Bombyx mori: one gene and its partner. The protein of the gene in region 2 purifies or fractionates together with the protein of the main gene of each other region. This does not show direct contact. Links are inferred from orthologs where the notes say so. Each region holds a gene or a part of one and is shown on either strand. Other genes may lie near its edges.

What was found. The genes of interacting proteins can lie anywhere in the genome.
Region 1: the proteins of uncharacterized protein LOC101741975 (region 2) and importin subunit beta-1 purify together in Homo sapiens (affinity purification with mass spectrometry; 3 studies listed by BioGRID and IntAct, with this or other methods). This does not show direct contact. The link is inferred for Bombyx mori from reciprocal best matches to the Homo sapiens genes PPM1G and KPNB1.

Annotation. Positions count from the first base shown.
Region 1 is NC_085110.1:11,420,923-11,425,105, forward strand, and holds the start of importin subunit beta-1, read left to right. Parts: upstream 1-1,354; 5' UTR 1,355-1,492; coding exon 1,493-1,550; intron 1,551-2,323; coding exon 2,324-2,565; intron 2,566-2,939; coding exon 2,940-3,120; intron 3,121-3,275; coding exon 3,276-3,535; intron 3,536-3,942; coding exon 3,943-4,129; intron 4,130-4,183.
Region 2 is NC_085116.1:6,775,796-6,779,364, forward strand, and holds part of uncharacterized protein LOC101741975, read left to right. Parts: intron 1-60; coding exon 61-155; intron 156-1,765; coding exon 1,766-1,889; intron 1,890-2,144; coding exon 2,145-2,332; intron 2,333-2,510; coding exon 2,511-2,778; intron 2,779-3,045; coding exon 3,046-3,261; intron 3,262-3,556; coding exon 3,557-3,569.

The DNA of each region.
Region 1 (4,183 bases), on a different chromosome or scaffold from region 2:
CCGTGTTGACTCAATACAGATTCACATTCACAACTCCCATAAAACCAATTTGGAACTGCCGAACGATTTTGTGAATCAAATTCAATTTCCGGCACGAGGTTTTGTGTATGAGTTCAAGAACGCAAACAACTTGTCCAAAGTAAATTTTTTTTCACTTTTTGAATTGACTATTAAATTTGACTGGTAAATAGAAGCGAATTCAAAGCTAAATAGATCTTTATCCTTAGACCTATATTCTTGTATTTTGAAATGTCTTATTTATGTATATCTTTACGAAGTTGCCGTTTTACAAGGCCATATTATTATGACACATCATGCATGCCTAGAAAAAAATTTAAATTCTAGCAATAAATCATAAATTCAAATTACCTAATCTTATTTATAAAATATGGAATTCTATTTTCAAATTCGGTCATTTGATTAGTGCTTTGTTTTCATCACATTCATGTTAATATAGGTATAGTAAAAATATATGTAATAATGGAATAAGAGTTCCATCGCGGCAACAATGCCGCACAAACAACCCACAACATTAATTATATATGTATGGAGTGAACACTTTGAGTAAGCCTTTCCGGAAATTTGATATAAAATACGAACGCCTAAATCTATACAATCATCAACGACGAATCAGAAGCGATCGTGGAAAATAACGACACTCAAGCTATCGTTGAATTAGCAACAGCTTTTAATGCTAGCATCAATACAATATAGGTTTATTTGCGTCAAATTGGGAAAGTAACAAAACTTGTTATGTAGTTGCTGTACCAATTGAACGATCGCCAACGCGACGAACGCATTAAAATATAAGTTGCGTATACAGTTGCTCGACAGACTCAGAAAGTAAGGGATTTTAAACCGCATTATTACTTGCCAAGAAAAAATTATTATTTTTAATAATTGTAAGCGGTCATCATGTTGATTATACCCTGGTTAAGCAATTAAGCAATGCCCTAAACAAAAACACATCCATAAAAGTCATGGTCAATATTTGATGGTCTAGTGCCGGTATCACACCTTCTGATCAAATGGCAACAGCATTACTGCAGATGTGTGACATGAGGAACTGGACAAAAGTTGAATGCTCGCATAAATAACTATTTGCTATTTGAGATTAATTATGGTAAATCCATTAGGACTTCTTGGAAAGCTTATCATTGTCATGATATATAACCAAATACTTGAAATTGAAAAACTTATTGTGGTTTATATGTGCCTTTTGGGGGAAATCGAGAGAAATTACACTTGATTAAATACCAAACACTTTTTTCTTGAAAAATCAGCTGCTAGCGACATCTTTACCAGATTTCGTGGGCCAGTGTCCTACACTATCACAATTGAAATAGAGTATAGATTAAAAATACCCTCTGCTGGCAACAATACTCAATAGCCAATATTTCATGAGTGTTCTTCCGTCGTCCGCCGGTTTCTATTTTTCAAAAAACAGGATTGAGTCAGTCTTTTGCAACATAAACTTAAGAATAGTGAAACAATGCACGCAGAAACAACATTAACGCTTATACAAATACTTGAGAAGACAGTTTCACCTGGTAAGTAATATGACTAACATCAACATGAACATGGATGGCGTTATAGAAAATAACGTACTTTTGCTACCTATAAACTATGCCATGATTCTGAAATTTATCCGGAAAAACTGTAGAATGGATAAAAAAATGGCATTTCTCAGCAAAAAGCATTTGAATTAAAACGAGACTGTAATTTTATCTAGTATCACCAACCGCAATGCTTACCTGTCATCCAGGAAACTTCTAGTTCAGCTTTCGAACCTCACGATGTCTGTGTTATTAACATTCAATGAAAAAGTGTGCTATAACTTTTGAATTCAATAGCTATTTTAATTCATTGTACATATAAAAAACAAAAAAATAAGTTTAAGGTTAGAAAATAGTGGATATTCTGTAGTATTAAATGAATAGGTAACGATTTTGTACATACATACCCTAATAAGAAAGAAACAATGTGCAACAGGGGCCGTATAAAATATATTTAAACAACATTATTTCAAAGTATAAAAATATTTATTAAGAAATTATAATAAAAGAAGTAGTGGTACTAAATAATCAATTGGTTTTGATGTTCCCTTGGCATGGATGACTTGGATTAGTGATCGTGACTACTCACCATTAGGTGGCCCATATTCTCGCCTGGTTTCAGTGGTAATAAAATACAAAAAAGACCTCACAAATTTGATTCTCTAACACCTTTTGTTTTCATGTGACATATCAGTATACAGACATAGTTAAATTTGGGGTACTTCACTTTGTAAATTATGTACTTAGATTATGGTTATTGCTTACAGATCGAAATGAATTGGAAGCAGCAGTTAGATACCTCGACCATGCTGCCACCACAAATTTCACAACATTCATCAAAATGTTGTCCGATGTCCTTCTCCAAGGTGGTAACAGTCAAGTGGCTAGGATGGCAGCTGGTTTGCAATTGAAAAATCATCTCACTTCTAAAGATCCTACACTTAAACAACAATATCAACAAAGATGGCTGGCTTTGGCAGAAGATGTTCGACTTTATATAAAAGAAAATGTAAGGCAATATTGCAAACAAGAAACAAGTGAAACATTGAAAAATTCACTAATAAGTTACTTAATAATAAAAATATATATAATATTATCTCTAAGCTAAATTGCTCAATTATTGTCTAAATAGCAATTCCCTGTATGTCTTACTTAGATTAAAATTAAAATTAGTAATAAATATAATTTAACACAACACTAATAAATACAAACACACAAGACATCTAAAACGTAATTACGCCACCCATCTTGAGATACAAGTTCTAAGGTCTCAGGTATAGTTATAGTATAGAGCTTGAACTAATGAAGGTGGAGAATCTGATAAGTTCCATCAGGTGTAGGTAACCAAGTTATATTTAATTTTAATACTAGTTTCTTTTTTAGATATTAGCTGCTATAGGAACAGAGAATAGTCGTCCAAGTTCAGCAGCACAGTGTGTGGCGTATGTGGCAGTAGCTGAGCTCCCAGTAGGACAATGGAATGATCTAATACCAATTCTTGTAGAAAATGTTGTTCATGTCCAATCTACTGAACTCAAAAAGGAAGCGACTTTGGAGGCTATTGGTAACTGAATGAACATTTGATAGTTAAAAGAGCTATGACAAATTATGTTATATAAATAAACAAAAAAAAAATTACAGTTTTAATTGTGCTTTATAACTAAAGGCAAATTGCTATTAATCTCTTTAACAATACTGATGTATTTCTTATTCTTCTAGGCTACATTTGTCAGGATATTGATGCTGAAGTATTAACAGAAAGAAGTAATCAAATTCTTACGGCCATCATACATGGCATGAGGTCAACTGAACCCAGTAATCATGTTCGACTAGCTGCTACTCAAGCTTTGCTCAACTCTCTAGAATTCACCAGAGCGAACTTTGAAAAAGAAAATGAAAGAAACTTTATTATGGAGGTTGTCTGTGAAGCCACACAGTCTAGTGACATGAGAATCAGCGTTGCTGCTTTGCAATGCTTAGTAAGTTTTATAAATATATAATGTGAATCCAAGTATTATATTTAAAATTAAAATAAAATACCACCTTAGCTACCACATTAGCTTTCTTCCCATGAAAGTAGAAAAAATTATATACCTCAGGAATATTACTTTTTTGTGGATAGTATCCTTTTATGTCCTTTTCTGTACTCTTGACAGCATTTATGTAAAATTTCATAATTAATGATTGATTAGTTAGATATGAAAGTGTATGAATTACAATTTATATTAATATTACATTTACTCAGTTATAAATTTATAATATTAACATGAATAACAAAGCTAAGACTTATTTTTTGGGATACCAGCTATTGACATGATTAAATTTAAACAATTACTGTATTAATTAATTTAAAAAATAGTTTTTAATCAAACAAAATTATCTTCAGGTGAAAATTTTATCACTTTATTATCAACATATGGAACCTTACATGGGACAAGCTCTATTCCCCATAACACTTGAGGCTATGAAATCTGATATTGATGAGATTTCATTACAAGGTATTGAATTCTGGTCCAATGTGAGCGATGAGGAAATAGATCTCGCAATTGAAGAAGCTGAAGCAGTTGAAGCAGGTATGAAAGTGATACTTCTATTCTCCTGTTGTGTTTAAAAAAATGACTAAGTAT
Region 2 (3,569 bases):
ATTTCAAACATTGATTGAAAAAAATACAAAGTTTATAAGGTTTTTAATTTTTTTGTCAAGGTGAAATAAATCCACCAGGCTCCAGCGACAATGAGGAAGAATCTGATGATGAAAATGTAACCAACTTGTACCAAGAAGCACATCTACCTTTGCAGGTGAGTTATTTCAAAGTTTTCTTGTTTCGAGCTTACTTTAGATATTATATAAATTCACATACACCTTGATTAGAGAACCCATATTTTTTTTACTTAAGTAAAAGACAAGATATTATTATTCCTTCATTGTGGAATTAGTTCATGAACATACTATAACAACATCACATTTATTTCACATCCCACACATTATTAACATATCTGCTTGTAGGATTTGATTAGGCTTAGTTGCATAGCTTTGTAAGAGAACTCTGACCATCTCTATGCCATTATGAATGAATCGCATGTGAGTGATCACAGTACTTACTTTAGCTAGCTAAACACCACCACTAAAACAGACATCAACCCAGCGAAAAGCACAGCAGTGTTATTTCAAAGGGAAAACTCACTTATTTCCTCCCGCATTAGGAGGAGGAATATCACACTCCCGATCACCCTCTTCGGACAACCTATATCCTGGGCCAGGAAGATCAAGAGTCACCCTGGATGCATCCATGACATTCCGCCTGCATATAAAAACAGTCCGCGACTGTGCCGCATTTATTCTCGGCAGACTATCCCATGATCTGTAAGCGGAGTAAAATGTCCCTTCGGAACAAGGTGACGCTTTACAAAACTTGCATAAGGCCCGTCATGACTTACGTGAGTGTGGTGTTCGCTCACGCGGCCCGCACACACATAGACACCCTCCAATCCCTACAATCCCGCTTTTGCAGGTTAGCCGTCGGGGCTCCGTGGTTCGTGAGGAACGTCGACCTACACGACGACCTGGGCCTCGAAACGATCCGCAAACACATGAAGTCAATGTCGGAACGGTACTTCGATAAGGCTATGCCTCATGATAATCGCCTTATCGTTGCCGCCGCTGACTACTCCCCGAATCCTTATCACGCAGGAGCAAATCACCGTCGTCGCCCTAGACACGTCCTTACGGATCCATCAGATCCAATAACTCTTGCATTAGATACCTTCAGCTCTAACACTAGGAGCAGGCTGAGGAACCCTGGTAACCGTACTCGTCGAACTCGACAAAGAGGTCGACGTGCAACCTAACCCCAGCATCAGCCCGCTGAGTTTTTCGCCAGATCTCAGCGGGTCGCGATTCCGATCCGGTAGTAGATTCATTCGCAAAGCAATTGCTCTTGAGTTGTTAGGTCTCCTTTGGAGGCGCTCGGCCAGTTGTTAGCAAATCCCACCCCTCCTGGCTGAGCTTTTGCACGCCCACTTGACCTTATGAAACTGGAAAGACCTCCGGGCCACTAGTAATCTTACAATCATAAAAAAATACTACCACGAAAACAATGAAAAATATCATTCTGTTTTTTTTTGACACTAAATAAACAGACTACAAATTTACATCCATAAGTAATTACCAGGGCCCTGTAGAAATCATGACTTGAAGTAATCTTTAAAAAGGATTGGATGGAATATTTCTGATACATTAATAAAAGAGCCTGTCTTGTCCAAAGATATTGCTTTTTATACATTCTCATGTACCTGCAGGAAACGGCAGTATGTCCAAGAACCCTCATATTTGTCCAAAATTGTCCCATTCGGTTTTAAAGCTATTCGATTTATATTCCAAATTTATCATGAAAACATTCGTTACACAGGAGGTGTTGGCTAAATATGAAAACAAATTAAGTTCACTTCATCGAAATAGACTTGGAGACACAGCTACGCCACTCTCGCCATGTCTACGTGCCAAGAAGAATGTTGATGAACAGGATGCCGCAGGTCTTTAATTGTTAATGATGACTGTACATGAAATATCTATAAAAAGTCTATAGATCTTTATGAACTAAATGATTGTTATGTTTTTTATTTTTATTTAAATTACTAATTAGTGAAATTTTTCTTAGTTGTGGATATTGAAATTCCATAACCAATTGAAAAACAACTTACAGTACATATCAGCATTCACTTATTGTTTTTCACAAAATATCAATAAAGTATATAAGAGCAAATAAATAACTTAAAAAATTACTATAGGTGCCTCCAGTGACTTAGGATTAGGATGCTCATCATTAGGTTCAAGTTCCGAACAGTCTAATCAAGGAGCTTCATCTAGCAAAAATGGACTTATTGCACAGGAAGATGTCAAGATGAACACAGAAGATGACACTGGGGGAGTCTCATCTACAAGTTCCAATGAAAAAGACAAAGAAACAAATGGAGAGGTAATTATCTGTATTTGAACCAGTATGACAGTGATATTATAAATGCTTACAGTTTTAGTGTTACAGTACTAATTATTGATTGTTTCATATTTTCAGGTAAAAATAAAATTTCACAAACATTGTAATGTGACAAATCTGTGTTCAGGTATATTCCATTCTTATTTTTATTCCATTTCAGGTATCAACAAGTGACCCAGATACCATTGCAAAAGATCCCATTGCTGTAGAACCTGAGAAAATAAACTCAGCGGCACCAGACAGTTCTGATGACAATTTTCACCAGCCTGAACAAAGTGAAAATATTAAAAGCTGTGATGTGGCTCCCAGGAATAGTTCTGATGTTTGCAATGGAGAAGTTTCGGATTCAAAAGAAGCTGAAGGGGAGGACAACAATATTTCATCATCTAATGGATCTGCCACGCCAGTCAAGTCTGGGAAAGCTAAAGGTAAACACAATAGCATTATAACTAATATTTTAAAAATAAATAATGGGTAGTGAAAATGTGCATAGTAAATGTTGGCTTAGATTGAATAGTATCAATCAATATCACTATCAATGATAGTGACAATGTATCAATTTGGTACATTGACTAGCAGCAGAATCATTTGTAATATAGACATGCTGTCAACCTTGATGTTTCCCAATATGGCTGCCCTAATTAAAAAGTAAGAAATTTTTATTTTATAAATAATAAATATCATCGTTATGTTAGATAAAACTTCGCCAGTATCAAGTTCTGAAAAAGAAGCCCCAGAAAGACCAAAGAAGGCCAAATTACGACGAGCAGCTGCTGCTGTATATGAATCATTGCTGCTAGAGGCTGAGGAAGATGATGAAAGTGATTCGAATGATGAGACTTTTGAAGGAGGTGAAGTTAATTCGTCTGATGAAGAAAATGTGAATGGCAATGAAGATTCTTCCAATGAAGGTAATAATACCAATAAAGAAAATTACAATTTTATTACATGTTTTGTTGGCTACCTGTTGATTTTAATTGTTTGGATGATTAAAAGTACAAGAAGCTTGCTTAGTAATTGCTATTTTTCTATAAGTATTGCAGTTTTTATTTTTAGGCACCTTAAATGTTTAGATTAAATTTTAAATTAGATTTAATCTTTTAAAATAAATTAGAATACTGGCCGAAAAATTCCCTATTTGCCAGTGAATTACGAAATATATTTTTATAATAAGCTAATAACTTTATATAAAAATCTTTTGTGCAGATGGAGGTGAAGA